Linked DNA regions of Rattus norvegicus. The protein of the gene in region 6 purifies or fractionates together with the protein of the main gene of each other region. This does not show direct contact. Links are inferred from orthologs where the notes say so. Each region holds a gene or a part of one and is shown on either strand. Other genes may lie near its edges.

Region 1 (4,923 bases), on a different chromosome or scaffold from region 6:
AATCCTGGACGTCCTGTGACCAGGGGATGATGCTCTACCCCCTATGCAGAACGTCTTCATCACTCAAACCACCCAGATGGTACCCGTGGGTTTCTGTTTGGTTTGGTTGGTTTCCAGGGAAAGCAGAGTAAGGACTGTCAGCTATGGTCAGACAGACGGATGGAGATGGTAAGACTACTAGGTATAAAAGGACCTCCACTGGACACACGTTAGGGAGACTCATCTAGGGGGCTGGAGACATGGCTGACCTGTGGCATCCTTTCCTTTTACACAAACACTCCTGGGTTTGAACCCAAACACTGTAAACAAACAAAGCCAGACATGGCCATCTCAGTCACCATAGCACTTGGGAGACAGAAGTATGAGGACCAGGACTTTTAGGTCACCCTCAGCTACATAGAAATTTTTAAGGCTACTCTACAGTACATAAGACTGTTTCATTAAAACAAGAACATTCACTTTTGTAAAATCTGAACTTCTATCTGCAGGCAGGCATATATGTATACACATTATGTATGTATACAGGTGTATATGTGTGTGTATGTATACGTATATGTATGTGTACACACACACATATATGTATATCAAACAAGTAATAAACATCCTAGTGTAGAACTAGTGGCTGGTGTTTGCTATACTCTAGATGGCAAGGCAGGAAGTCTGTTATCAGTGAACGGATACCACAGAACCTTAGGACTCCAGAATGCTGCTGGACTGTAAACCTGAGAAAATAAAGCTGGCTCACACACACACCTACTTTCAGTAGGTGGTCTGGACAGACACCTACTTTCGATGGGCGGCTTGGGTCCGCTGACTAAAGACTCTGTGATCCGAGAGGCAACTGAGCTGTCAAACGCAGAGTTAGAGGAGTCCGGGTCCGGGTCACTGAGGATGCTTGGGAAGCTAGCTTTGCTCTGGGTTGGCAGCTCAGACTGACGCTCTGGAACAGATTCAGACAAGGAGCATTTAAAGCACTTAAGCCCTGTGATCCATACCTGGAAGGTAGACACAAAAATCAAGCATCCAAGGCCAGCCCTGGCATTTGAAACTGGGGGCAGGGACAGGGGAGAGAGAACATTTTAAAACTGAGAACACCAGGAACAGAATGGGGTACAAAGTAAATATCTTTAAATCCTATAAACCAAACAATAATAATAGTAAAATAACCCCAAAAGAAAAGATAGAGGGAGGTGGATGGACGGCAGGGAGGTGTGAGACTGAGGCCAGGTTGGGGTCAGATGCACACAGAAAAAGGAAACGGAAAGGAGAATGAAGGAGGGTACTAGGATACAAAGGTGTAATCAAGGTGGGAGCTGGTCAGCCAGCAAGAGCTCAGTTAGAGGCCAGCATGGGCTGCACAGCACATTTCAGGACAGCCAAGGCTACACAAAGAAACCCACCAGGTCTCAAAACAAACAAACAAAAGGGGGGGGAGGGTTGACAAGGCAGGGAGGCCAGGGCAGGATGAGAGAGGATCAAACAAAAACAAGCAAAAGTGTAAATTATATATATAAAAAATCTTAATTTTTTTTTTTTTTAAGTAGAGAATCTCAAGGACCAATAAGAATGTCCCAGTCTCTGGCCCTTCCTTACCTGCCAGGGCTAACTGAAGGCCACTAATATCCACAGACTGCCCCATGTTTCCGACATCCATGAGTGCAATCTGGCGAGGTGTCTTTTTGAACAGCTCCCTCGGGGGTGCCAGCATGAGCTGGGAAAGAAAGAACTTTTCTGGCGGAGTTATAGGAGGCAGAAACCCTGCAAACAAAAAATACATGCCGATTTCTCGACAAAGGCTACTTTTAAATTTTCAAAACTTAACTTTAACAGTTAACTTGACACTTAGCTGTTTCCTGCTCGCCACACTGTGAGCCGTTTCGTTTCTATGAACTAAATGTAACTGAGTTCCAGGTAATCGAATATGTACATTTAGTATACTCATATTAGTCCATAAACAAATATATCACTTGAGACAATGTGGACCTATGGAGACGTCAGTGAAACTTGTGGTTATCAAATACTTTGAGTCCTGCAAAGGCTAAAAACTACAATATGGTAGCTTTCTGAAATGCAGCCTGTGACTGGGAGTACAGCTGTACCAGAGTCCTGGGCTAGGCTCGTGGTATAGAGGAAGTGACCCTGGGTTCCATCCTCGGTACATAAGTTAGGGGAGCATCCTCAGATGTAAACCTGTGCCCGATCTTTGCAATGCTGCAATAGTAAACATTCCACAGTATTGCCCGGGACACATACATGCATCTTGGAACGGTTAATTAGAAACAACTTCATCCTCTGCTCCCATGACATTACAGCAGACCAAGGAAGGAGGGAGGCGGCTGCAAAGACTTTAGATGTTGTATAATGCGGATCTCAACCTGCCACTTCTTCAGGTTCTTAATATCGACTTCTTTACTCAGAGGCTTTAAAAAGGGGGTGGACTCTGCCATTGGCTACTCCGCATACCTCAGGACCTTACCTGAACGAACCGTATCTGACATACTTAAAATAAGTCCAGACCATCGGTGGGCTTGTTCGATGCGTTGGCTTTTTCGATTGGGAGGGATCATCTGGGGTGCAGTGAGTTTGAAAAGAAGCTTGCAACTTCTGACTACCCACCCCCATTTTAGTGGAACAAAGTATGGAAAGGGAGGGAGGGTCGATCCTCTCTGAGGAAGCCGAATATGTTCCCAGCCGACGAGCTCCCACAGAACAGCAGGCTGCGGGTCGTACCTGAGAGCGGGGGCCGATCGGGCTCCTGTCCGCCCCGGGCTGGCGGCGCCGGGTTGAGCAGGTGCGCGAAGCTGGCTGCGAACGGGTTAGCGGCGAGCGGCTCGGTGCGGTACATCTCCCAGAGAAGGTAGAGCGCCGTGAGGCGCTGCGCGGCGCTGGGCAGCAGGTCCGGTTGCTGCAGCAGCATCACCAGCACCGAGCCCAGGCGGAAGTGGTCGGCCTTGCTAAAGTAGTGGTGGAAGGCGGTGGACAGGCCCTCGAAGGTGCTGCCGCCGCCTGCCTCCTCCGAGATGATGCTCAGCAGGCTCGAGAGCTCCTTCGGGGTCAGGCTCATCCTGCCCGCGGGGCCTCCACTCCCTGACCCGGGGCCACCTGCTCCGCCTCGGCCTCCGCTCGAGCCCGCCGGGCCACTCCGGAACGCCGCCGCCTCCCGCGCCCCTCTTGGATCCGCTGAGAGAAGCCGGCCAGACGCCGTGCTCGCCCCGCCACCGGGCATCAACCTCGCCCGCCTATCCTGCTTCCCGGCCGAAAGGCCCTGGCGCCGGCTCGCTGCGTCCCCCCGCGGCCGTAAAGCGCACCCTTCTGCGACAGCGTCGCAAACAAAACAGCGCGTAAGTAAGGCGAGCGGAACGGAGAAACAGCGCAAAGCCGGGCCAAGCCGAGGTTCCGGGAACGCGAGTGGGCGGGGCACTGTGCCCGGAAGTGGGCGGGGCGCCGCGGAGGGCGGGGACGCGTGGACTCAGTAATGTAAACTGTGGTAAACTGTGGTTAAAGCCCCATGGAAGCGATCCTAGAGTGGCGGGTGGCGCCAAGCTATCCCAGTCGATCGTACCTAAGTTATAATTTGAAAAATAGGTCTATCTTGTCCGATATAACATCCTTGATGGCTCATGGTGAGATTACCGGCACCAAGAAGGTAGAGGCAGACGAACCCCTGTGAGTTTGAGGCCAGCTTGGTCTACACTGACAGACCCTGTCTCAATCAATCAATAAGAAAGAAACAAAAATCCGAGAAAGTGTCTCAAGAAAAACTCGTTTTCAAAGTCGTTTGTAGTACTTCATTTTTCTTAGCCTGCCCTAGGGCTCTTTTTCTGGCCACCTTGGCTGAATACTGGAAAACCCTGGAAACTTACATTACAGATGACTGTGAGCCACTATGTGGTTGCTGGGATTTGAACTCAGAACCCCTGGAAGAGCAGTCAATGCTCTTAACCGCTGAGCCATCTCTCTAGCCCTGGGAAACTTCTTTTGTACCAACCTCTTGGTCCAGGTCCCAGACACCACTACCTGCTCCCCACTCCCATGCTCTGGGTGGTGACTAGTACCCACTCTAGAATTACAGAAACCAACGGAATGTCATCAGCATCACCTGCTAGCTACCCTGTGCTAAAAATGGCAAACAGTTCAAGAATTTTCTATTTACCGGCTAAAATCCTTAAGGAAATTTTGAGGAACGGGTGTTGAGTATGGCGCATTGTTTAGTTTGCCGTTAAACGTGTGGAGGGATTCTGCCAATGAACGTTACAATCAGCAGAAAATATAACTTGGCAAACGGGGGAAATGATTCAAAATACCTCTATTATTATTATTAATCAACTACGTTCTCTTTGAGCCCTTTTACATTGATTGTATGCTCTATGACAACTACTCTACAATACTAAAACCCACTCAAGCTAGTTATTGTTGTAAATTATTATTAATTAGTAACTTAAATGTTGGTATAGTATGGGTGCTTCAAGATGTTTGGAGGTATTTGAGCACAGCAATACTAGCCCCAAATAGAGCTGATTTTCATCAAGGTTAACACGGTACCAAGAGCTTCTTTATGTTTCCAATCAGTTTGTTTCTAGGACTTCTATGCTATCCCCACAAACAGAGCACATTTTCACAGTAGAAGCTGACTTCCTCTCCCTTCCTGAGGCTGCAAGTCTGGAGTTATCAGCTCTGCAGTCCACCTCTGAAGCCTCAAGGGGAGAATCCTTCCTAGTCTTGTACTAGCTTCTGGCATTTATCCAAAGCCCCCGACCCCCCTTAGGTTAAAGCTTCTTTTGTTAGGTGCCCCTAATTGTTATTAAGTTTCAAACTTAACGTTAACATATCAAAGCTGACCTGGCTGCTGGCTTCCCCCAGCATCCCTCAGTTCCTCCCTAACTGGACATGGCTGGCATACCCCCTCTCTACCGTGAACTCCCC
Region 2 (4,136 bases), on a different chromosome or scaffold from region 6:
TTTTAAGTTGTCTTAAGTCTAAGTGCAAGGCTGAATTGATTAAAATTAACCAAACCCTAAACATGTTATAGATAGTAAACACCTGAACATTCTCACTACATTGCCAGCCTTGAAGCCAAGGGCAATAAAGCTAACAAACTGGTGCCAGAAACTCACCATTAACTAGCTATAAGGCATTTTTAAAATAAAAATCCAAAAGGTGGTTCTATATTGAAACTAAACAATTTACTTGCGTAAGTGGACAATTCAAGTAACTTCTAAATTGATACTACCTGGCAACACAGATCAAATGCTTTGTATCAATAACATACTTCTACCAAGAGAATACACTCAAAATAATTCCACAGCAAGTATTCTGTAAAAATGTGTTTCTGTAGGTACATTATATACATACATACATACATACATACATACATACATACATACATACATGCATTACATGCATGTGTGTGTGTATGCACATACACACACACACACACATACACATACACGATTTGTACCAAACCAAAATAGGACACAAACACATACACACACTTGTACCAAACAAAAAATAGGATCTATATGTGTGTGTATGTGTCTATAACTAAATATTGTTTTATTACCACCAGTGAGGTAACCGTGATATCTATCACTAGGATGGTTATCTATCCTAAAAACAGACTTCGTTCCACTACACATCACCCTTCTACTCCTATCAATTTTATTCTTGAAGTACTTAATGGGGGAATTCCTGAAATAGCTTTTAATTCAACTATATATCAGACTTTAGAGTTAATTAATACCTATAATTCAAAAAGCCCTTTAAGACTTAGTAAAAACTTTAAGTTCTACTTTATAAAACCCTCAAAGCAAAGAAAGACGAGCAAATCTATTCTCACCACCATTTTCAAGAAAGAGAAGGTACAAACTAAGGAAACTCTGACACACATTCCCTGACTCAGAAGGGCACTTGTGGGGTCTAAGAAAGGCCTCTAGTGGGGTTGGGGATTTAGCTCAGTGGTAGAGCGCTTGCCTAGGAACCGCAAGGCCCTGGGTTCGGACCCCAGCTCCGAAAAAAAGAACCAAAAAAAAAAAAAAAAAAAAAAAAAAAGAAAGGCCTCTAGTGTTCCCTCACTAACTTTCAGCTTAAAGTCACTAGCCTCTGCTCTGTCCATCTAAAAAACAGTATGTTCATATGTACATGACTTCTACAATCACATAATCCTTTATTCTGTAAGCAACGTATTTCAGAATAAAAGAATTTTTTATTCTATAAAGAATTTATTATCTTTCCTTTTTGGATGACATTTCAGGAGGACTTATTTAACACTTTCATTCAAATGTGGTGGATGTAACTTATATAGTACCTCTATTTATATCTTCACTTAGTAGGTTCTTAATGCCCAAAACTTTTGTCATCAGACTTTTAATGTTCTCTACCTAACAACCAAGAAAAAGGCACTGATGTCTTCATACTTCTCTCATTTTGAAAAAGGCCATTCCTGTAAGCAGTGAGTCAGATCCTGCCTGGTGTTGAGGTCCTATCCGCTCCAGCTCTAACTGCTCAGCAACTTCCTGCAGTCCACCCTAGAGGGAAGAACAGTCGCTTGTCAAAGAGAAGACTTTGGGACTGGAACTCACAACTATACATTTAGACACTGACAAAAATATGAATAAGTTTTTAATATGTAAAGATTAACCTTGTAAAGATGGCAAGGGGATTGATAAAATATTAATCTGCAATACATTTGTGGACCATAAAAGCCTTGTTACCAAATATGAAATTCTAATAGGAAAATTTTATCTTAATTATACATTTTAAGGCATGTGACAAGCAAACAATTTTCTACAGATATGGAGGAAGTAGATCAGATTCAGGGTAACAGGTATTAGTCACACTCAGTGTATTGTGCCATCACTCATTAAAAACTCAGTATTGAGTACAGGCATTTCCTTTTAAATATCTAGGCATCCCCTGAAGTATTTACAACTAAATAAAACAAAGACAGCACGAGTGTTCAGACCACTGCTGTCAGTCTGCCACATAATGTTCATTTTCTCAACTAAGAAGAGAATTTTACAGATATAACTCTTTTAGAATGGTTTGCTATGATATGCTTACATTAATATAGCCATGACTGAGAAAAATAAAGAATGTGAAAGGAAAAGAGAAGAAATAAAAGACAGACAGAAGCAGACTACTACCAATCAACGCTCTCCTTAAATTACAAAGGCTTTACTAGCAAGTCAGGCCCTCCGAAGTCCCATCCTAGCTTGATAGGACTTTTGCCCACCAACTACTTCTGTGCTAAACAGCATTGTGTGCACTATGTATCCTTAGCAGCCACTGGTAATACAGACACAGACTAAATGTGAACGACTGGCAGCACCTTATCACTAACATACACTTTCAGTGGGAGCAGCTCACACAGCACACAAGAAAATACTTGATATATTTTTAGGCATTTCTGAATATATAGATGAGTAAAGAGTTAGGACTATTTATGAAAACTATTATCATACCAAGCTGTCAATTAAAAAAACCAAAAACAAAAACGTCAGAGCCAGATCAGACTTAGATTCTCAGCATGCCACCCATCTGTGTAAGCAATCAGAATACTCTGCTGGAGTTCACTTATGAGGAAACCTCAAATGACACAGAATTCTACAACTTTCAGCTGATAGTCTGAAATAATCTTGCAAAGAACTTCTCCCAGTTATATGGCACCACACCTATATTGGAGGCAAACACCTGTGTCCTGCAATTCTCAGTTAATTGTTGAAATCAAAGCTTACACATTCACTTTTCTAAAGCCTAAAGAAACTTGACCAACCTTGGTTTTACTGAAGAGAGGGACAATACTGGCTATAAATACACTTGTTTCCTTAGTTATAATTTAAATATCACACTAAAATCCAGCAACTAAAAACCCACTCACTGTATTGCCAGGGATCCGTTGCCAACTCAGGTGAATTTGCTCTTAAACCGAAGTACTTTAATCAGGAAACATTTATTTTGTTCAAAGGTTAAGAATAAATGGTCACATATTTTAAGTAGTATCAGAATAAGCTGCTATCTATATGGAAACTACATATTTACTATACAGTACTTAAACCTAATCAGTTTTAGCTATGTAAATAATAACATACTTCAACAAGAAACAATAAAGAGTCTCTAGTCAGGAAAACCACGTTAGAACAGTATTGAATGTCGCTGCCCGCTGCTCGTCAACCACAACCTGTATCTTTAGGATAGTTCTGTGTGCTGGGAGTGTGAGCACCGCTGTAATAGGCCCAGTAAGTGTGCTATACCTCATACTTTCGTTTCAGTTCATGATTCTCAATCTGGCATCAATAACAAAAACCTGGCCCTTAGCTTGACTTTTTAAAAAATTTATTCTAGGGGCTAAAGAGTTGGCCCCTAGAGCACTGCTGCTGTGGAGGACCAAGTTCCTAGCACCCACTGCAGCTAACGAGTACCCATGACTCAGTTCCAGAGGAGTCTAGCGCTCTCCTCTAGCCTCTGCTACCTCTTACTATGAACGTCCACAGAATGTGTGTGTATATAAAATATATTTAATGTAATTAATATATTAATCAACCTTATTCTGGGCTGGAAAGATGGCTCCGCAGGTTAGAACACTTGATGTTCTTGCAGAGGACCCAGGTTCAGCTCAAGCACAGCATGGTGGTTCACAACCATCCATAACTACAATTGTAGGGGACTGGATACCCTCTTCTCATGTCCTCAGACAGCAGGCACACATTTGGTGCATAGATACACATGCAAACAAAATACCCATATACATAAAATAAAATTTAAAAAATCTATGACAAAACAAAAACCCAACCAATCAAAACATAAACCCAAAACAAACCTTCTCCTGTCAAGATGAACACTGCAGCTTGGAAGAGGGCCGTCTACTACTTAAGAACAACAGGATCAGATAATATAACTGTGTTTAACATGATCTTTAAAACATGGCTTAAAACATTCAGGCCTAAGATATTATAGAAGTTACTTGGTCTAAATCACTGCTTCTCAACCTTCTTAATGCTACGACCCTTTAATACAGTTGTGTTGTGCTGACCCCCAACCATAAAATTATTTTCACTGCTTCTTCATAACTGTGATTTTTCTACTGTTACGAATCATA
Region 3 (4,136 bases), on a different chromosome or scaffold from region 6:
ACGCATTAATTCAAAAATGGAAGTACTATAGGGAGGTTTTTTTTTCTTTCTGTTAAGTAGATGAAAACTAAGCTCTATTTAAGATATGAGTGATGAGTTTTAGAACACTGAATTCAGTTTTCTAAGTACCTAGTCAGTTTAATTCAGGTCAACTCAACATTTATTGAATACCTTGAAATTTTAACACCAGGGGGCAGAGAATGAATAGGACATAGACTCAGGGGAAAGAATAGTTGGGAAAGACCGGGTTGTAAAGAGAAGGCTTGCACTGAAAAGCAAGCTTTACAAGTCAGGAATGAATGGTTTGGGAGGGAAATCTTAAACCCTACCTGCATACTGTCGAGGTTGGTGCATTTCCCCAACAAGGTAGCTCACTGTCAGCTCTGAATGGATTCTTAATCTCTGTTCTTCAACAGTAATAACCAAGTTTCTTTTTCGGTTTTTAAAATTTATTTGTTTAAATTGTTTCTTTCTTGTTCATTGAAGAATTTTAGAGAATTTTTAAAATTGAAATAAAGATTTTATTCTCAAATTAGCATTGGTTTTGAAACATATTGATGTTTTATATGAGGAGACCCAAAGCATATACTTTTATTTTTCTTCATCTCAAACTTAGTGTTCTTACTGTATATCTAAAATTATTTTCTATGTACCCAGTATGTCTGGATTTGGAATGAACAGGAATCAGGCATTTGGAATGAATAACTCCTTATCAAGTAACATTTTTAATGGAACAGGTAAGCTTACTCTGGAGCTAGCACCCTAATGAAAGTACAGTAGAATTCTGAAATACAAGCAAGTCGGCGCACTGGTCTCTGAATAGCAGCAGGATTTTACTGTTTTAAACAGAATTTAGTTTAGTGGAAAACTGTCAGGGATAGGATTTAAGAAAACATCAGAAAGTAAATGTTTTTTTCCCCAACTTGGCCTTGCACAATTATTATCACAGTTATTTTGTAACATCTAAAGAGAGTAAATACTAATTTGGACCATATTTGTGCCTCAGAATCTTGGGTTTTTTCTTCAAAATGTTTCCTGTCCTTTGCCCTATCACTGAGTGTTAACAAGAGTGTAGACTAGGTTGAATGGTAGGACATTTTGATTTTAGATACATGGATTGAAGAGAATCTGTCAATCGTAGGACGCACTTCATTTTTAAAAATAGCTTTAATGAAAATTTTCACATTTAATCCTTAAGAATTTTGATTCAGTATTATCTATAAGATTGAGCTACCTGGAAACTAACTTGATTTTTGGCAAAAACTAAAGTCTGTTGGTTTCTTTTAGCAACTGCTTTAGCAGGAAATAAACAGGGAGTGAGTGGTAGGTATTGCTGGCTTGCCTTGCCTCTAGGTGCTTTGGTGATGAGAAAATAGTGGTGTTGCCATGGTTATAGGACCAGAGTTAGTGTTCCTGGGCACTCTGTACGTGAAGGTGGCAGTAAGAGGAGAGGTTGTAAGGTAGCATGCATACGCCGCAGGAGAAGACCTAAAGGAAGCCCTGTGGTAGCTGTAGGCTTCTAGCTTCTGCATGTTCTGGTGGCTTGTTGAACAACTGAAGCGGACCAGCCAAGATTAAAACCATTGACAGAATGGAAGTCTATAAGCATTTGAAAATTATAGTTTTCTGGGTGTGACTTTAAAATCCGTCAACCTTCTAATTCTTAAGCAAAGTCCTATACTTGATCACCTTTAAAGAGCACACTTTTCATACCCAGTGTGTGAGGTCTGGCTGCCTCTCACATTGCAATTCAGTGTTTTTATATGCTACTATAAAGTCTCAAAATTTTAAATTCTTGGATTTTATACTGGAAAAATTATTTTCAAGACTTAAGTTTCTAGTTGAAAAATTATAAATTGTTGGTTAAAATATATTCTCACATAATACTTGACATTTAGACATGGAAAGATCTAATGTTATGTATTAAAATTTAATTTTTACTTGAAGAAGTTTATAATTAGTCATAATATGAGAGATACTAACTTATAAATTAATCAGTAAATAAAATTTTAATTTATTTTGCTTTATTGTATTTTTAATGGAAATTAAAAAAATAATTTATGAGAAATGGCTTATCTTGACCTTTATAGTTGTAATTTTAAATTATCACCTTCCTTGGTTTAATAAGTGAACTTACTTATAGAATAGTAGTTATGATGCTTTTAATTGTGAAATTTTTCAGAAAAATCAAAATTAATTGGAAAGCAGCCCTAAATCTATACATGCTTATAAAACAAGGCACAAGATAAAGAAGAATGATTGTATACAGTTAAATTGTAGGTAGAAAATTAAGTGGTTCAAAATTAGAATACAGGTTAAGAACATGAAAGGCTGAGAGAAAAATAATTAAAATAGCCAAAGTAGAGAAGTTGGGTTAAATGTTTATGTCTAATGGTAGCAGTTTAATATAAAACAAATACATACATCTTTATTCCATATATTTATTGAGCGCCTACTGTGTAACAGGCAATATAAAGTTCTGGGTTTTGATCTTTATTCCCCACCTACTCCTGATACTTAGGAGTCCATCCTTGCATGGAGCTAACAAACACATACATGTGTACACATTTTTGTTTCAAACTAAAGTATATATGACAGAAGTCCTCAGGGCTTCCTCTGTTTGCCTCAAAATCTTTCTGGACTTTTGCAAGAGCTAATGTCATCGTATCTTAGAGTTGAAGCTCCCAAGTCATCTAGATCTTGCTCCATCCAGTTTGAATGAAAAGAGCAGTTACAGCTAAACAGTGTAGTTCTTGTTCCCTAAGAAGCACTAAGTTTTATTGCCCTCTTCCAACAGGGGGAAATAATGTACAACTCCTCTCTTTTTCTACATCTCCAGACTTGGGTGTTTTAAGATGCTGGCTGTAGAATGCTTTCCTCAGTTATTAGGGAATTCATTCCATGACACAAAATCAGTCCACAGAATCCACAGTATGTGTGTCCACTGTCATGTGCCTACAACACCACACTGCACTATTAAAGAAGACGACACTGTTGTTTCCAGTGAGATGTTTGGCTTTTGTGTGTCATTGTAGATGTTTGTGGAATCAGTAACAAGTATTATCTCTTATCATTTAGATGGCAGTGAAAATGTGACAGGATTGGACCTTTCAGATTTCCCAGCATTAGCAGACCGGAATAGAAGGGAAGGAAGTGGCAACCCAACTCCATTAATAAACCCCTTGGCTGGAAGAGCCCCTTACGGTAATTCATATTCTTAGTGATGGCCAACTAAAGGTTACAGTCATGTGTACTACACACATGCGTGTTTATGTGTGCATGCTTGTATGCATTTATGTTTCAAACCAGGTTAGCTCTATTTTGTCAGAAATCTTAATTTGAAAATTGGTTTTTCTTTCCATATATCTACAATAGCAAAATTGAGTAGTAAACTTTAGTACAGAAATCTAAGTACTTGATTTCATTGCTATTCAAAAGTTATTTCTTCTATTCTATGTGCCTTAATTTATTATATGTGATTGGTTTTGTGACTTGGCTTTTGTTAGTTGCCTCCCCCTCCCCTTTAAGAGAATATATCCCTGGTGACTAATAATAACTGCGTTGAGATCTCTCTCTGAGTGAAGAGGTCTCCTGAGTCACACTGGGGCCTGGAAGACTCATGTCAGGAGGAGGGTAGTCTGAGGGCACTTATTCAGATAGGACATTTATCAACGCTAATGACCGCTGTGTGCAGCACTGGCTATCCTGCCATCCATGTGGCACACGTTTCTGCATACTGGCAAATGCCCTCTTGAAAAGCCTGTGAGAACCAGTGCTTATGATTCTGTATTTCTGTAGATTCTTGGCTATGATTAATAACCCAGTCACTCTTTTTTACAGTCTATAAGTTAAGAGATTCGGGTAGTAGAGCCTGAATAACAATGTTAAGAAAAGCATTTGCAGTGACAGTATAACAACGGAGACAGAAACATTTGTGATGTCAGCATAGCTAGATTGTTGTTACTCGTGGATGAGATCTGATAGAGGCTGGGATCGAGGCAATGATTAGATGAATTTCTTCATCAGTTATTTTAAAATGGAGCTAATATTTTCTCCATAAGGGTTTCAAGTTCCATACTTCTGCATATGAATAGAAATAATGTGTGGAGGAAAAACTTTATTGATCATGTATATCT
Region 4 (4,728 bases), on a different chromosome or scaffold from region 6:
TTCAATTCCCAGCAACCACATGGTGGCTCACAACCATCTGTAAAGAGATCCGATGCCCTCTTCTGGTGTATCTGAAGACAGCTACAGTGTACTTATAATAAATAAATAAATAAATAAATAAATAAATAAATAAATAAATAAATCTTTAAAAAAAAATAAAAAAAAATAAAAATTTCCGAATCTTATGAGGAGTACCTGGTGTGATGGTTACTTTACAATTCAGTGCTGTTGCTGTTGTCATTTATATATGACGTTCCCCTCCCTCAAAAGCCTCTAAATAGGAGGCCAGGACCCCAGTCTTTGCGAGTGGTAATAGGATTCCACCAGTTTGGAACTATCCTTAGATTCACCCACTAGCAGAGTCGTAATTTGATGCATCATTAGGAAGCAATGGAAAATAAGGACATGGAGCCCAGTGGGAGTAAGAATCTCAGTGGAATGTGCCCTTGGAGGCTCTTTCTTCTTCCAGTTTCCTCTGCTTCTAGCCACCAGGAAGTCAACAACTTTACTCTATAACTTGTGCCCTGGCACAATGCACTGCTTCACCAAGGGCCCCAAAACAATGGAACCAAGTGACCCGGGACTGAAAATTCTGATACCTGAGGCAAAAATCCATTCTTCCTCACTTAAATTCTCCTTCAGGGTATTTATCACAGAAGCAAAAAGTCTAACACAAATGCCTCTGGTGTCTGTTTCCCTCCATGATCTGAACCTCTGTTATTATAAATACTGGTTATTCCCTAGAAGGGAAAGGAAGGATGGAGTACGTGCTTCTGGAACCCAAGGCTGAGGTCATTGAACAAAACCAGAACCAGTTCAGGGATAAATCCTTTGCTTTATCCAAAGACTGCAGCAAGGATACATAGAGAGACTCTGTCTCAAAAAATTAATCAAACAAAAATCTGTCAAGATATATGGCTGGAGATGCCTGGGTCGTTAAGGATGGGTATTGTTTTTGCAGAGTTCTTGAACATGAATCTAAACCATTGTGCTTAGTAATAGTGATGCACCAAGCTGATGTCTTAGATGTGACCTACATAAGTTAACTGTTGCAGGATTCGCAACCAGAGAAACCGGATGCATAATGCAGGAACTCTGAATTTTCCAACTTGGCTACAAATAACAAAATGGCTGAGACTTTTTTTTAAAAAAGGCTTTTATATGGGGGGGTGGCCTCTAATAACATCTCCCTCATCCTCATTGTTGTGGAAAATCGGTGAAATAGTACAGGCCATGTGAGATTAAGCGATTAGCGTATAGACATCAGGTGTGATACCCGTCATTTTGGTGAAATGCGGAACAAAATGCCCTTCCCCTTCCGTGTTTCACTCAGGACCTGCACTAATACACTTCCGGCTTTGCACAAGGACCCGCTTCCGGGGCCGCGGCTAGCCCTAATTCCCACGCCCAGCTGGCCTTCCAGCTGGCCCCGCCCCGGAAGTACTGTCTTCCTTGGGCGCTACAGAACGGAAGCCGTGGATGGCGGGGAAAACAGTCCTCCACTGGCGGATGTGTTGGTGCTGTTGCTAGACGACGAACAGTGAGTTCGTCACTTCCTCAGCCCGTGGCCCGCCCAGGACCGAACCAGAGGCGACCGAAGCCGGCTTGAGTTGAAGAGTTTTCCCCCGCCTACAGGACCCGCCACCAGCCCGGCGGCGGGAGTCAGGGCCACGCCACCTGCAGGGAAGAACTCGAGCCGAGGCGGGAAGATGGCTGCAGACAAGCCTGCAGGTGAGGCGCCCGCGCCGCGACCCAGGGGCTGACACACTGCGCGCGGAGATGGCAGGGCCCGCGTGGGGGACTCCAGGGCCACTTGACTTCACTCGTATATTTCTGCCCCTCACTCTTCTCAGCTGTCCCTACTGTGAGTCCTGTGGGTTTTCTACTGTGACCCGTCTCGATGCCACTGCAGACCATCCTTGCCTTGCTCTCCAAGATAATTCTGCCCCAGAAAGCTCAAATTTGTCACGCCGCTTTCCAGAGGCATCAGGGGAAGGTCTTCCCGAGCTTACACGGTTGCCGTAAGGTCCCCAGGCTCAGCCACTGAAAGTTCCCTCTGGTCAGCGTGTCCTGTGGAATCCTTCTGAAAACCGTTTAAATAGACGTGACGTTTAAGTGTGTCTTCTGCCTGCTGTCACTTAACCTTGTTCGCCATTTGATTTTTCTCTAGCTACTCAAGATTAACTTCTTTTTTTAAAAAAAAATCTTGGGGTTGGGGATTTAGCTCAGTGGTAGAGCGCTTGCCTAGCAAGCGGAAGGCCCTGGGTTCGGTCCCCAGCTCCGAAAAAAAGAAAAAAGAAAAAAAAAAAGAAAAGAAAAGAAAAAGAAAAAAATCTTAATTATGTGTGTGAGTACAGGTGCCTTCAGAGACCCGAAGAGGACGTTGTGTCTACAGGAGCTGGAGTTACACAGTTGTGGGCCACCACCTGTGGGTGCTGGGGACCTACTTTTGTCCTCTGCAAGAGCAGCAAGTGCTGTTAATGGCTAAGCCATCTTCTTTCCAGCTCCAAGATTAAGTTCTTAATCTCTAGGGTTTTCTGTGGTGCCCCCTCGGGAATTTTTCCCCTTGGGGAATTATAAATTTCTAGCCCACTCATTACCTGGAAAGTCTGCTTTATTTCTTTGAAGAAATTAATACTCTGTGCTAGCTGCCCTGGGAGTTTCCAGGGGCTTCGATTGTCTTCACTGCCTGTCCCTCTCACTGGGAATGCCACTGTGTCTGGGCTCTGACGATCTAGACTCGGGGTAAGACTGAGCATGTTTACCCATCAGGCTATCTCCCGGTCTCTCACTGCTCTTCATCTTTTTTCTAAATAGTCATCGTGTGTGCTGCTTTCCTCTCTATAGACTTTCCAAGATTGTCTCACTGGTTAGCCGCTGAGCCCTTACTCTTTAATATGGTTTACGAGCTTTCAAAATTGGGTCCTCTGTAGGAGCAGTAATCCTCCACCCCTGAGACATCTCTCCAGCAGCTGCTTGTTAATTTTCTTATTGTACATTGTCTGTCTGCCTGTCTGTCTATCAGAACACAATCCTTAATACACGTCTGGAGGTCAGAGACTACCTGTGGGAGTCAGTACTCTCCTACCAATTCTCTCCTTCCAAGAACTGAACTTGGGCTTGGTGCCTGAGAAGCCTTTTTGAGCCTCAGTGTCCCTTTGTGTACAGTAAGCATGCTGACAGTGTCTTTCTCCTAGAGCTAGTGAAGGCTCAAGTGACATCAGCTGTGGCTTGGTTTTGGTTGGTTTGTTTTTATACTTTTTCTTTTTTTTTTTTTTTTGGTTCTTTTTTTCGGAGCTGGGGATCAAACCCAGGGCCTTGCGCTTCTTAGGCAAGCGCTCTACCACTGAGCTAAATCCCCAACCCCGTTTTTATACTTTTTGAGACAAGGTCTCTCTAATAGCTTTGGCTGGCCTTTAAGATTTTCTATTCAGGGGGCTGGGGATTTAGCTCAGTGGTGGAGCGCTTACCTAGGAAGCGCAAGGCCCTGGGTTCGGTCCCCAGCTCCGAAAAAAAGAACCAAAAAAAAAAAAAAAGATTTTCTATTCAGACCAGCCTAACTTCAAATTCTCAGGAACCCATCTGCCTTTGCCTCCCAAGGGCTGGAATTTTAAAGGCATGCACCACCATGCCCAGCCTTTTGTAATTTTTGCTGTTGGTGGTAGTGGTGAGTTTGGGTTTTTGTTGTTGTTTTGTTTGTTTGTTTGCTGTTTTTCAAGACAAGGTTTCTCTTGAAGCCCTGGCTGTTAAAGAAACTCCCTCTGTAGACCAGGTAGCCTCAAACACAAGAAATCCACCTGCTGGGCTGGAGAGATGGCTCAGCAGTTAAGAGCACCCGACTGCTCTTCCAGAGGTCCTGAGTTCAATTCCCAGCAACCACATGGTGGCTCACAACCATCTGTAAGGAGATCCGATGCCCTCTTCTGGTGTATCTGAAGACAGCTACAGTGTACTTATATATAATAAATAAAATAAATCTTTAAAAAAAAAAAAAAAGAAAGAAAGAAAGAAATCCACCTGCTTCTGAGTTCACCTCAGAGGGCTGGGATCAAAGGAATGTGCTGAGGCAGCTGGAAACACCACCACCACCACCACCTGGCCTTTAAATGTCTGCTAAGGGCCTGTGAGATGGTTCAGTGGGTAAAGGTGTTTTCTTTCAAGCCTGACACCCAGAGTCCCATCCCCAGGACCCATGTAGTAGAGGAAAATACTGCCTTTTCCAAGCTGTGTCTGACATACACACTCAAGTAAATAGTAAGCGCCAGCCTGTGTCTCTTTACGGTGATGTTAAAGAGACAGAAGAGACATGTTAAGTTTATTTGGAAAGTGCCAGGGTCTGGGGAGTGAAGGAGAGATAGCAATAAGGGGAGACACGGTATGTTCTGTCCCTGCTATTGATCCACCACCAGCTCTGAGAAGCTGTGGCAGTCACTTCCTGTGCAAGGTTTTTTCATGGAGCCTCAGCCAGGGCCACACAGCCTCTAGAAGCAGTTTTTGAAAGTAACACATAGGGAGGAGAAAGGAGGCGTGTGTGTGTGTGTGTGTGTGTGTGTGTGTGTGTATGTGTGTATGTGTGTATGTGTGTGTATATGTATGTATATCTTCCTCCTGCTTTCACCTTGCAGTTGGTTAAGGACATCTAATATGGAGGAACAGATTTCCTTGTGTGGCTTCATGGCAGTTGATGAGCCAGTAGCCAGCCTTAGACTCCTATCTTCCTGCCTCAGC
Region 5 (4,136 bases), on a different chromosome or scaffold from region 6:
TCGCACTAAGATGACATGGGTATTTCAAATACCAGTTCCGCTGTTGGGGCTGAAATACACCATCGTTTTGTTCATGGGACTGTAGTAGACTCAGACCCAAGCAGAAACACTAAGTGGGAGGCCAATGGTTCTACGTGACCAGGGTTAAGGGAAAGTCACTAGCTGTATTCCAAGGACGCACCACAGAGAGGCAGAAATGCTTGTTGGGCTCAGAGCCTCAAGATATTAACACACCCGTGCTACCACTCTAGGTGTACATGCTACTCCAGGAAGCAGACAGCCTATGCCCTGGCGATAGCCTTCCCAGGACACTTACCACTGATGGGGTTGGTGCACCCAGCACACTTCTTAGCATACAGGTCACAGAAGCAGGTCAGGCAGTATGGAAACTCATCCCGGGCTGTGAAGCGTTGCCCAGATAGCTGCTTCTTGCAGGCTGTGCACACAAAGCACTCCCTGTGCCAGGGCTGATCCCGGTAAGTAACACCTCCTGTGGTAATTGGCTGGAGGAGACAAGTATAAGAGTCAGGGCTGCCCCTGATTCTGGTAGACATCTGTCACTGCCGTTGCCTGTGCATGATGATGTAAGACACACCCCACCCCCAACGAAGGTGCAGTTTGTTAAAGTGGTAAGGAAACCTCATACCTCAGGCATCTCGTGGTATCATCCATACCATTGCTGTAGCTCCTGGCTTTCTCCCTAGTGATCCTGGGTCTTTAGGTTTCACAGAGGTGCAAGGGAACAGAAGGTATGGGTACTGTGGGGTATTGTCACCCTCCCGAATAGGAAGGTGGCACAGTGGTGAAGTCATGGTCAGAGACAACACTGAAAGCATCGACTGCTACTTCTGAATGGCTCTGTAGCTTAGGCAAGGCATGGCTAGAGATCTTAGTACCTCAGTTCTAACTACAAAGTTGGGGTGACAAAGAGAACGGGATGAATCTCTGTGGAGGCCTTCCTTCAAATCCCAGCAAGTGGTGGCCTCTCCAGGTCTAGTTCCACACTCAGTCTGCATGGTAACTAGAGAAGCAGAAAGGCAGAAGCTTAAAGACAACTGGAATCAGCATCTGCTGGTGTGGCCTGAAGGGACCAGCATCCCGGGGGGCCTTTTATTCCCGCCCTATCTTAGAGTCATGGAAGGTTTCTAAAGAAGCCCTAAGGTGATAAACGGCTTGCCACACCTCAACTGCATCCAGTAACCTCCAAATACTGCTTTTCCTATGAATTTAAATCCTGGTGGAGAGTTGAGTCAGAGGTCAGGGAGTCTAAGTGGGTCTCAGCTCGACATGCAGTGGCCACAGCAGACAGAGTGAAAATGCTCCGGGCCGCATCCCAATGCTCTTTACTCTTTTAACAGTATGGCAGTGCTTGGCAGTTTCTGAGGGCCCTGTATGAAGCTTGTGCAGCAAGATTGCTACTTCTGCGCTGCAGACGAAGCAACTGAGACCCAGGCCTGGCCCAAGAATTAAGTCACAGCCGGCTAACGACAAGGCAGGGAGACTCAGGATTCCCTTCTGTCCTGTGCTCTTGTCATTAAATCACACATGAGGAATTATTTGTCACGCCCCTGACCCAGAAGTAGAATTTATGGAAAATATTCTGGGTCTCCTTGTTCTGGGAGATACAGGAGGCATATGAGTATGTGAGGTGATGTCTACTCTGCCTGGAGTTCCCCCTGGGCCTCCCTCTGTGCTCTGGATCTAATACCCTTCATGCCCCCCTACTCTCCTCTATCTCCTACACCCTATGCTCCCCTACTTCCTCCCCATCCCCCACCTCCCCGCTCCCTCCCCCTTCCCCATTTCCTTTCCTTCCCCTACTCCTCCTCTCACTTCCTCCCTCCCCTCTCTGTACCCCTTCTACCTCACCTCTCTAATTCATCCTCTCCTCCTCTCTTCATACCTTCCACTTCCTCCCACTCCCTCCACATCTCCTCGCGCCCTCCTCCACCCCCTTTTGCACCACATCAGCTCAGCTTCATTTCAGCTTAAGTGTGGCTTTCTTAGAGATTTCCCTTCCCCAGCAACCCCAACCTCCATCCTCTGGTTCATTTTCTTGTCGACTCTGTGACCAATCGGTCCTGTCGCTCAGCACATGTATCAAGACACCCTGCTGGCTACAGAGTCATTTCCACCTGGATTAAAATCCAGCCTTTCACTCTCCTGCCCGCCCTCAGACCCCTGGTGTTGCAGGACCTCTTTCCTTGCCTGAGGAGGGACGGGTCCAGTGTATTTAGGGAGCACCTATACAAAGCCACAGACCCACAAAACTGTACCTTTTGCACTTTTACAACTAAAAGGACCACACTGATGGGCCGGTGACAGGACAAGTGACTCAAAGGAGCCACAAAGGAGCCACAGGAACTGCTATCATGGTGTTGCAATGTGTTGTCTGTAGTGATGCCTACAGGTTTATAGCCCTGGCAGTACAGCTGATCTCAAGGCCAAACGACCTCTGAACAGTGCTCAGGTTTCTGCTGTGTATATGCACGGATAGATTCTACGGCCATCAAACATACATGAACGAACACGGCATTCACCATGTGCTACCTGCCTTGCTTACAGAGTTCATTACAGGTGAACCCAATGAGAGTTTTCCCTACCACATCAAGTGAGCCTTGCCGGAAGGGACCAAACTGTTTCCAAGCCAGAAGAGGTGGCCATAACAGCAGAAAGAGATCCCAGAAGAAACAAGTGCAAGAGTGAACTGAGCAAAGAATGGCCACAGATGTGGCAGAGGGCAGTGGAGCAGGGAAGTGAGGAGAGGGGAGGGCTTAACTTAACAGGCTGGAATAGGTCCTAACAGCATTGAGGCCCTAGAGGCACCACCATGCATGGAGCTGTGTGTAGGAGAGCGTGGCAGACCTCCTCTGTGGTTCTTGTTTATTCAAGATCAGCTTAACAGAGGCAGGCTAAAGAGAGAGAGTTTCCCTTCCCTCTGACATCAGGTAATAACATTTGGAAATGTTATTGAAGGCGGAATTTTTCTCTTTGAGAAAAAGAAAAAGAAAAGGCCAGCTCACAGACCCGGTAGATAAACACTCAGACACCCAGGAGAACAGATGTTCAAGGCAAGAATGGGCAAGCTCTCATAGCAGAGAGCCATGACAGGTGTTCCTTCGTGATGGCTGGGCCGGGGACAGAAGCTGAGAAGGACAAGAAGCCCCCAGGGACCCCAAGCACCTTTTTGCACTGCACACACTGCAGGGCATACTGCTTCTCATAGCAGGGCACGCAGAAGTTCTGATTCTCCTTAGGTATGAAGCTCTTGGTTCCGATGGGCTGCTGGCAGCGCTGACAGGTGAAGCAGGTCTCGTGCCAGCTGCTGCCCTTGTATTCCATCTTGCGGGTACCTGTGGTCAGAGGCGAGAGAAAGCAGCAGCGGCCGTTAGACTGACTGAGGTCCCGGTAACGCGTCTCCAGAGCCCGTTACCACCTAGTGTTATGATACGGTAAGTCTCCTCTGCTCTCGGAGGCTCCTCTCTAACTGGAGATAATTGCTAGTTTGCTTTTGTTTCAATGCTACACATGCAGTCCTAGAACATAGTAGGACTACATGGTACATAGTTGGTACTTGATGTTTACCTAAATATGGGAATTAAATTAAATTAAAATTGGGAATGTTAAGTGGAAATAAAATTAATAAAGTAAATATCAATAAATTTAATTAATAGATTAAAAATTAATAAAATAAAAAATGTAAAGTGCCTTTCCACATGGTAAAACAGATGAAATTCAGCACAGTTCATTAATCCTTATGTGGTGGGGTTGGTGAAGGTCACGACATGGTTTAACTTCCCATGGTTTCAGCTATCTGTGGTCAAACTCAGGTCAAACTGAAAATATTTAACGGAAAATGCCAAAAATATACAATTCATTCATAAGGAAAAACCGGACACCTTTCTGGATAGCGTGAGAAGATACCGCACTCCCTCACCCAGTCCGCAAGGATGGCTATTGTCCTGTTGCTCAGAGTATCCACACTGCATATGCTACCAACCCTCATTACAAGAACAACTGTCACGGTACCACAGTGCCTGGGTTCATATAGCCTTATTTTACTTACTTTTACCGTGTCCGATACACATTAAATTCTGTCATAAAGCAGAGTAAATGCAGACCTAGTACTATCAATG
Region 6 (4,136 bases):
ATGACCTTCCCAGTTCTCCCAGCAACACCTTGTGTATCTGCCAGTTTACAGAATGTCTATCTTAGTGTCTGCCTGCCTGCCTTTGGGAAGTAAAATCCTTACAGCATGCGCAATGCTTATTTTGTTCTCTGGTGTTCCAACGCATAGCACACACATACATAGAGACACATCTCTATTCCAGGGCACTTGGAACAGCCTCGAGCTGACAATGGCTCTCCAAACAAGGGCCATTTTTGACATACTTTGCTCAAAGGCTTCATAAGACGAGGGAATGTATAGGAAGTCCAGACTTTACCCTTTCTGAACCTAGGCATAGCCAGGGAGAATTAGAGAGTCAGATATTTCAAGTCTGCCTCAGGCCAAGAGAGTTGCTTAGCCTGGGTCTTGGCACTCTCAAAAGAGGCCAACAAAGCCAGAATAACAAAAAGGATTAAATTGTCTAATACCCCTACAACATGCCAACAGCACACAGTAGAGGCTTGGTCAATGCTAGAATATCATAAATACTGTTCCTAATCATCATGACCAACCATACTTAGCTACCTTAATGACCAGGCACACTAGCCTGGGAATTTAAAACAAAATCTGAGTCTTGAAAGCAGGTCCCTGGGCAAGTCCGTGGGCCAGTTTCCCCCATCTAAACTCTAAGAGAATAAGAGGTGACCTCAGATGACTGCCCAGCTCCCCTCTACACAGCTGTACTCACAACATGAAGACAACTCACCTCAGAAGGTGGTCCAGAGCTAGCCAGTTTAGCCAGGTCCCCGTTCAGTGCTAGGCTGGAAGTGAGGATCCTGAGAGGAAGAGAGACAAGGGGAGGTAACTGGGCCATGGGTGTAGTTGCGCATGCCTTTAATTCCAGTGCCAGGGAGGCAGAGGTAGTCTGATTTCTGAGAGTTTACAAAGCGAGGTCCAGGATAGCCATGGCTCTATACAGAGAAACTTTGCCTCAAAACACAAAAACAAAACAAAAAGAATGGTGAAGTCTGTCCCAAATTAGAAAAGGGGGGGGGGTAGTTATCCCTTCCAAGCAATTTTAACAACACCCAAAGATTAAACACCTCAGAACTTGAAGTTGGCCTGGAAGCTCTAGGGATAAGGAAGCTAGGCTGTGCCCACAGAGCAAATGCCCAGGACATGACATCCACTCCCTTCCTGTCCACACAGGGTTAAATCCCCACCCCCCTCTCTCATAGAACAGCATCATGTGTGTCCAGGTCCCTCAGAGGTTCCCAAGAAGATAATGGCTTCCTCTCCTAGTCCCTGAGGAGTTAAAGTTCTTCTCTGGCCAGAATGCAACTGGTCCCAGCAGCCCTGCTGGTACTTCCTGAAGGACGTGGGGGTGGGGGTGATTTTCCAAGACTGAACCCTTCATAGATGCAGAGAGGAATCAGGCTGGGAAGCAGGATGGCCTCCCAGTAGCCAGGGTCCTGGGTGGTGCAACACAACCACCAGGTGTTTCCAGTGAGAAAAGGGCAGGCTGGAGGGTGGGGTAAGGTAGGGCAGGGCAGGGCAGGGCAGGGCAGGGCAGGGCAGGGCAGGGCCTTCAGCTCCAAGCTCAGCCCAGACCACAACAGGTCTAGCTTTCACAGTGGGCAAGCGAAGGCAACCACTAGGCCTAACTTTGCATTCTTCAGGCTGGTGCTTTCTTGCCCTGAAAATCTTAGATGGCCAAAACCCTCATGTCCCTCCAGGCCATGTGTCTCCTAGCCCAAGAAGCGCCTCCCAGCCGGCCTTCCCTTACACACAGGCCGACTGTGGGTAAGAAGTGCATCTGGGAAAATGCCTCCGAACAGAAGAAATCTCTTTGCAGAAATCAGCTGAGGCCCATCACACTCCTCACAGGCAGACTGTACTCTACGGATACCAGCATACCCCTCCCTGGGGGCCACATGGTGCTCTGCCACAGGAGACCTTAGCAGTTAAGAGCACAGGTTTTAGAATCATACGCGTCTGGATTTAAACTGAGAGACTTTAGGAAGTCACTCTGGAGCCTGGGTTTTCCAATCTCTAAAGAGAACTTAACTGTCCCTTCCTCCAAAGGACACAGATATGTACTGAATGGGCTACAAACTAGTCTACTGAACAGTATGACTCTGTAGCATAACATGTATCAACTCTGTAAAGAGAGCTATAGAGGGCTGGGGATGTAGCTCAATGATAAAGCACTTGCCTAGCATGAACAAGGCCCTGGGTTCGATTCCTAACACCACACACACACACACACACACACACACACACACACACACACACACAGCACTAACACCACCATTTGCAACAGAGATACTCTGGGACTTAGCCTGGGTTTGCCTGAATTCACGTAAGTAACCTGACAGTAAAGATAACACCCCAAACTGGAGCCACTTACTGCATAGCCCCTTCAAGACTTCCAGGAACTATACGAACTCTTAGCCCTTACCTCGCCTCAGGAGTCTTGCTACACTCTTCCTGGCACTCTGCGGGAGTCTCTGCTGTCCTCTCCTGGGATGATGCTTTGGCAGGGGTCTTATTATCCTCCTCTCTGGGGCAGGAGGCACCGAAGGTCCTAGGGCCATATCGAGAGCTTCCATCGTGGTTAAAGGTGAGGCGGGACCCCCAGAGTCGGTCAGGGCTAGCAGGGATCTCTTTCCGAGGCTGCTCCATCTTCGCCAAAATTTCTTCTACTGTACAGGCTGCAAACCGCTCAGAGGAGGGACGGAAGGGGGCAGGGGCCTTCCGCACACCCCCCAGAGCAGCGCACCGAGCTGGCGGTGTTAAAGGGGGCAAGTCCTCTTTCCCGGACTCTTGGGTAACTTCTCCCCCAGCAGTTGCCTCAGCTGGAGGCTTTGATGTAAATGGGAGTGGACGCTTGCTGACCCCATAGGGCTGAGGTCCTGCCAGCATATTCATCTTCCGGGCAGAAGGCAGCTCAGCCAGGGGACCCCGAGGAGGACGAGGCCCAACAGGCACCAGAAGGCTGGGTTTGGCAGGCAGAGCTGGCTTGCTGGGCAAGCTCCGGGGCTTGGGCTTGACAGGGGGTTTGGCTCGTGGGTCACCTTTCAGAAGGAAGGACTCATTAGGAACTGTCAGGAGAATTGTGAAACATAAATTCTTGGGACTCCTGCTGCACCAAATCTTCCACACTCAAACTTTGGAACCCATCCTTCTAGGTGCAAATCAGTACCCCCTGTTCCATGAAGCGGTCCTTGATTTCTCACACTCATTATATAGCCTACCTTCTCCAAACTCCTATAACATTTACCAGTTAAAAGCGAGGGTTATGTGTGGGTGCTCTGGCACCTTATTCCTCTAGCATCCGATTTTGCTGCTAACAGAGGTTCCTTCCTATCGAATGGAGTGAATGAATAAGCATCTCCATCCGCCTGGCCCGCCATGCAGTCAGCCTGGGTACCCAATTTACCCTATTCCTTTATACAACCCTATATACCACATTTCCATAGGAAGTTTCTATCCTAGCTGAGCTCCCCTTGTCTCCCTGCTGCCCCTCCTCTCGCACACTCCCAGGCCACCTCTGTCATCCAGTTCGTTATCAGGAATGCAGACTCTCTATTGACCTATGTCAAACAGAAGTAAATCTCCCACAGGAAGGAAGAAAAAAAAATCAAGGGCGGAAATCTACCTTCTATATAAGGCATTGTAATGCCACATAAAAGACCTTGGGAATTACTCACGGCCACAACCTTCTATAATAGAATCTTGTATCACCCACTCATTCAGCTAAGCATTTAAAAAGTCTAGACAGGGAGAAAGAAGTGCACTCCATTTCTCCTTCTGTGCCTCGGTGTCTCCTTCTCGAAGAGTCCCTGGACCTGTCTCAAACCAGCTGCACATCTACCTCACCCCCACCAGTCACCAAGGCCCTTCAGCACTCATTTCAGACTCACTGCCTCTCACCTCAACTGTCACTCAACTACCTGCCGGGACAGAATAGGGGTGCAGCCTCTACCTTCCCCGCCCTCCTCCCAGGCACGGCCCCACCCTACACCCGTCACCCATTGGTACCTGGCTCTGAGCCAACGGGCGCCTGCTCCTCCTCCATATCCTGGGGCAGTGGGGAAGCCACGGCCGTGCTTTCCCTGAGAGTGGATCCTTTCATCACATACGGCACACCCTGCCTGAGAAATGGGAAGCAGTGT
Region 7 (4,136 bases), on a different chromosome or scaffold from region 6:
CTAACTTGTGCAGACTCCACAACTCATTCTAGAGCACAGTTGTGACCAAGCCCCCACTGGCTATCCACCCTGCCTCTCTCTCTTGCTCTGTTCTCTGTAGCAATATGTTTGCAATCTGTATGACTGATGCTCGTGCCTAACATTAGTAGCCGTTTGCATTCCTCACAAAACAGACTCCAGAAAAGAGCTGTGAGCAGTACCTGCAACACAGGTAACACTCACGATGCTTCTGTATGCTGTGCTGGCTGAATGACCACTACAGTTTCTATTCTGTAGAAATGACAGAGATGACAAGGCACTGCCAAAGTCTCATTGCTCCCAGTAGGAACAGTGCTGGTTGAGAGTCCATACTGCTCTTCCTGGTCCCCTTCCCTGTTTCTCCAAAAAGAACCCTGGTAGTGTGGTCTCTAATAAGCCCAAACCCAGTGTGCTCATCCCCAGGAAGTCCTGCGGTGTTCTGGGATTCTCACACTGGGAAACTTGAAACAAATGATCCCAAGTGTGTTGGCACAGGTCTTTAATCCCAGAACCCGGGAGACAGAGGCATGAGGACTTCTATGCATTTGAGGCCAGTCTGGTCTACAAAGGGAGTTCCAGGCCAGCAAGGGATGGATATATAGTGGGACCATCTCAAAATAGATAGTTAGTCTATTAAAAACATCTAACCCAGGACCATGTCCTACACCATGTCATTCTGGAGTTGGACCACAGATTCTTCTAGGCTCCTCTAAGGCCCCCAGCCAGCTTTGAACTGACTGTCTGCATCACAGCACAGCTACTCATCAGCTACTAGACGTGTTTTCCTGGGTAGGGACCAATGTCAACTGGCCACATGGTGATGGCAAAGGAAAAGAGAAGGGAAGGAAGGAAGGACGCACCACCCTATCGGGGCAGCTGACCCTGAAACCACACGGCTCTTCCATTAGACTGTACGGCACCAAGACCTTCTTCTCTCTGATGCTCAAGGAAGGTACCCACACATGCCCGTTAGTGGGTCAGATGGACAGCTGAGAGGAGGAGAAAGAAGGACAAACAGATGTGTGGATGGGCTACCCATGCTGTGAGGTGAGCGCTACAATGTGGGAGCTCACCTATAGGAGTCCCCGTCTCTGTTGTAGTCACACAAAAGGTAGTCCTTGCCCACCACCTTGTCTCTGGCAATTTTCAGGGGCTGGTCAACAGAAGACAGGAGATCTTCACACAGACTGGGGACCTGGCAGAAAGAGAGGACATGGAGAAATGTCATTAAAATAACCCCCAATTCAGGACCAGGTTAACATCTGGCTTGTAGTGCCCTGCCAAAATTCGGAATCTGTCTGTTACTCTCCACATATGCCCAACACCAACCATGTTTCTCTATAAAGAAACCTGGCCATGAGATGTTGTGGAGCGTGACTTCCAACGCAGTCTTTCCAAAGCCGGGTGTGGCTTTAATTACCTGACCACCAGGGTGGTCTGTGAGTATGAGGATGTGTGTGCTGGGTATTGGTCTCTGGTGGACAAAATACCAGCTCAGGCTCTGAGAAGAAGGCAAACACTTCAAATACACAGGAATGTGAAGAACTCAAAGAATAACGGGGCTCTGGAGAACTCCCACAGGCTCCCATGCCGGCCGGGTGGAGTTTCCAGCTCTTTCCAGGCCTCAGGCCAAGCATTACCAGGCCGTTCCTAGCCGGCTGTGTCTGTTACAGAGGTGGATGTCCACACGCTTTCCACACAGAGCACAGTCCACTCACCTGTAGAGCGGAGGGCAAACAGCTTGGTGGCCCAGCTTGGTGGGCTGGAACAAGTCATAAGGTGCTGTCAATCAATTCCTACCACAGCCTTTGGGGGAGCAGACCAGGGCTGCCTCCTCCCAACACAAACATTGGTCTCCAGGAGGGGATCCTGGCAGAGTGGATGCTTTTCTGTTCGAGTCATTTCTACACTGTCTCCGCGTCCTGACTTTCTCATCTCAGAGCCTCATCATTTACCAGAAGAGGGGCTGCTAACAGAGGGGGCCATGCAGCTCAGATCACGTGTCCCTCCCAAAGGCCAGCACTACTAGGACAACCAGGCTCTGACGCTGCATGCTACCATCCACATCACAGTCCAGTGTACAAAGTGCTACCTGGCACTGAAGCACCTCTTGCTCCATGGGATGGTCCAACTCTTACACATACATCGGTCCCCAAGGAGAAGCATACACCTCCAGCCCAAGCATGGTGTGCTTGTCTTCAGAACCTGGTCCACATGCACCTGTGCACTCACCCAACCAACAGGCAAGGTCATTTCCAAAGTTAGCTTTGGCGACACCCCTCTCTGTTACCTCTAAATGCCTGTGGGACGTGAAGCCAGGTATCACAAAGTATGCTCTTGGCCTAAACGCTCAGACTAGGGCATGAAGTGGGTAACCAAGGACTTCTAGATTACAGAGCTGAGACCGAGTCATTAAAGCTGCCCAAGACTCACATCAACAGTCAGCAGGGAATACAGAAATCCAATCCTGGGCTAGGTGACTCCCAAGCTCCTTCAGCCTGTCACTCTGGTCCCTAAGGACAGTGAGCAGCAATGGTACCAAGCTCCTCCCAGCCCCCACTGCAGCTCAGTTATAGCTAGGTCCTCCACCTGGGACACCCTAGCTGGGTCTGAGGCACTTGCTGTATTTTTTTGGCCCAGTGAAATGACTCTGGCAGCTGTGTGCTACCCTTCGTGCTGTAGCCTGCCACCAAGGATCCATTCGAGCCACTGGGCTGCTACTGGGGTCTTCATGCAGTTGTCAAGTCCTCTTTGTGTGGACTCTATTGGCTGTCTGCTAATACTGGGTAGCAGTTCCAGCCCTCTGTACCTCAGTGCACCTTGCTGCTTCTGATGGCAGATGCTGAGGGATGCTTGGGAAGACAGAGCTCCTTCGCCAGCCAAGCTGGCAAGACAATGGGAGCTGCCAGGAGAGGCTCCATTTCTAGCTGGCACGGTTATGTACACTGGTAATCCTAGAAGCTTAGGAGGCTGAGAGAAGACAAAGATTTGAGTCCATGAGTTCCACATCACTGTGACCAGGCCTGGTGGCACAGTTCTGTAAGCCTAAATACTTGGAAGGCTGAGGCAGGAGGATCCTAAGACCAAAGACTGGCTGGGTTGTAGAGTGAGTTTCAAGCATACTCGAATACTTAAGACCTTGAGTTAAGAGGAACTAGACATCTGGGAAGATGATTTAGTGGTAGAGTGCTTGCCTGCTGTGCATGAGGTCCTCAGTTCAATTCTCAGAGTCTCAAGTAAGCAGCAAAAGGAACAAATAACCTCACACCACACTGAAGCCCAAGCCCAGCCTTCCACGGCAACGACAGGAAGACAGAACCAGGCAAACCACGGAGACGAGGCACCCTGAAGGGCTGACCCTGGACTGTGCAAGCCCACAAGTCCCTAGCAACCACAGAAGAACACACACTCAACTGAGCCCCACCGTGGCAGCACACCGTGGAAAGCTACAGAGATCTTGCAGGACACAGGATGTGCCTGAGAGCACACAAGTACCTAGGATGGGTCACGGCTGGCTGGCTCTGACTGCTCAGGTCCCTGAAAGACACGTTCTGAATGTGGGCCATACTTTTAAGTTCTGTTTGCATCAGTTCCTCTTCTGATCAAAGACAATCTGGTCTGGAGTAAGGACACTATGCTTGTCACTGGAAACAAGTACAGACTATACAGTATGGCAGCTGCCCCAGACGCTTGTGCGTGAGTGCGTGTGTGCGTGTGTGCATGTGTGTGTGTGTGCATGTGTGTGTGTGTGTCTGTGTACCATGTGTCAGTCCTGCTCTGTGTGTGTGTGTGTACCATGTATCAGTCCTGCTGTTTGTGTGTGTGTGTGTGTGTATACACACCATGTGTCAGTCCTGCCCCCCATCCTGCCCACCCTCCACCTTCCCAACACTGGCCTACTAGCTGTCTCTTCAACATGCTAGTTTGTATAAAAACCCTCCCCACTGAGAGTTGGTGGTACAGAAACTGTAGGCTGCTGAGTTAAATGTGAATTTCAGATTCACAAGGAAGACCATTCCAGTCTGACCATGCCTCGAATATTAATTACACAGGACAGCTCTTTATTTGTTCAATCTAAAACTCCACCACGTTTCCGATGTCTCCTTCAGCCCCACCCC

Evidence for each region.
Region 1: the proteins of Tnks1bp1 (region 6) and Cnot11 purify together in Homo sapiens (affinity purification with mass spectrometry; 5 studies listed by BioGRID and IntAct, counting the BioPlex papers as one, with this or other methods). This does not show direct contact. The link is inferred for Rattus norvegicus from reciprocal best matches to the Homo sapiens genes TNKS1BP1 and CNOT11.
Region 2: the proteins of Tnks1bp1 (region 6) and Cnot7 purify together in Homo sapiens (affinity purification with mass spectrometry; 4 studies listed by BioGRID and IntAct, counting the BioPlex papers as one, with this or other methods). This does not show direct contact. The link is inferred for Rattus norvegicus from reciprocal best matches to the Homo sapiens genes TNKS1BP1 and CNOT7.
Region 3: the proteins of Tnks1bp1 (region 6) and Cnot2 purify together in Homo sapiens (affinity purification with mass spectrometry; 5 studies listed by BioGRID and IntAct, with this or other methods). This does not show direct contact. The link is inferred for Rattus norvegicus from reciprocal best matches to the Homo sapiens genes TNKS1BP1 and CNOT2.
Region 4: the proteins of Tnks1bp1 (region 6) and Cnot10 purify together in Homo sapiens (affinity purification with mass spectrometry; 4 studies listed by BioGRID and IntAct, with this or other methods). This does not show direct contact. The link is inferred for Rattus norvegicus from reciprocal best matches to the Homo sapiens genes TNKS1BP1 and CNOT10.
Region 5: the proteins of Tnks1bp1 (region 6) and Fhl2 purify together in Homo sapiens (affinity purification with mass spectrometry; 3 studies listed by BioGRID and IntAct, with this or other methods). This does not show direct contact. The link is inferred for Rattus norvegicus from reciprocal best matches to the Homo sapiens genes TNKS1BP1 and FHL2.
Region 7: the proteins of Tnks1bp1 (region 6) and Capzb purify together in Homo sapiens (co-immunoprecipitation; 5 studies listed by BioGRID and IntAct, with this or other methods). This does not show direct contact. The link is inferred for Rattus norvegicus from reciprocal best matches to the Homo sapiens genes TNKS1BP1 and CAPZB.

The regions. Positions count from the first base shown.
Region 1 is NC_086027.1:49,308,999-49,313,921, reverse strand, and holds the start of Cnot11 (CCR4-NOT transcription complex subunit 11), read right to left. Parts: upstream 3,299-4,923; 5' UTR 3,227-3,298; coding exon 2,731-3,226; exon of another isoform or gene 2,568-2,730; coding exon of another isoform or gene 2,477-2,567; intron 1,759-2,476; coding exon 1,594-1,758; intron 941-1,593; coding exon 788-940; intron 1-787. UniProt on the Homo sapiens protein: Component of the CCR4-NOT complex which is one of the major cellular mRNA deadenylases and is linked to various cellular processes including bulk mRNA degradation, miRNA-mediated repression, translational repression during translational initiation and general transcription regulation.
Region 2 is NC_086034.1:58,491,980-58,496,115, reverse strand, and holds part of Cnot7 (CCR4-NOT transcription complex subunit 7), read right to left. Parts: intron 1,567-4,136; coding exon 1,456-1,566; intron 1-1,455. UniProt on the Homo sapiens protein: Has 3'-5' poly(A) exoribonuclease activity for synthetic poly(A) RNA substrate. Its function seems to be partially redundant with that of CNOT8.
Region 3 is NC_086025.1:54,030,959-54,035,094, reverse strand, and holds part of Cnot2 (CCR4-NOT transcription complex subunit 2), read left to right. Parts: intron 1-657; coding exon 658-737; intron 738-3,078; coding exon 3,079-3,204; intron 3,205-4,136. UniProt on the Homo sapiens protein: Component of the CCR4-NOT complex which is one of the major cellular mRNA deadenylases and is linked to various cellular processes including bulk mRNA degradation, miRNA-mediated repression, translational repression during translational initiation and general transcription regulation.
Region 4 is NC_086026.1:123,205,024-123,209,751, reverse strand, and holds the start of Cnot10 (CCR4-NOT transcription complex subunit 10), read left to right. Parts: upstream 1-1,584; 5' UTR 1,585-1,709; coding exon 1,710-1,731; intron 1,732-3,522; exon of another isoform or gene 3,523-4,728. UniProt on the Homo sapiens protein: Component of the CCR4-NOT complex which is one of the major cellular mRNA deadenylases and is linked to various cellular processes including bulk mRNA degradation, miRNA-mediated repression, translational repression during translational initiation and general transcription regulation.
Region 5 is NC_086027.1:52,885,189-52,889,324, forward strand, and holds part of Fhl2 (four and a half LIM domains protein 2), read right to left. Parts: intron 3,354-4,136; coding exon 3,184-3,353; intron 504-3,183; coding exon 317-503; intron 1-316. UniProt on the Homo sapiens protein: May function as a molecular transmitter linking various signaling pathways to transcriptional regulation. Negatively regulates the transcriptional repressor E4F1 and may function in cell growth.
Region 6 is NC_086021.1:90,544,846-90,548,981, reverse strand, and holds part of Tnks1bp1 (182 kDa tankyrase-1-binding protein), read right to left. Parts: intron 4,116-4,136; 5' UTR 4,097-4,115; coding exon 4,003-4,096; intron 3,036-4,002; coding exon 2,420-3,035; intron 795-2,419; coding exon 725-794; intron 1-724.
Region 7 is NC_086023.1:156,781,284-156,785,419, reverse strand, and holds part of Capzb (F-actin-capping protein subunit beta), read right to left. Parts: intron 1,214-4,136; coding exon 1,092-1,213; intron 1-1,091. UniProt on the Homo sapiens protein: F-actin-capping proteins bind in a Ca(2+)-independent manner to the fast growing ends of actin filaments (barbed end) thereby blocking the exchange of subunits at these ends.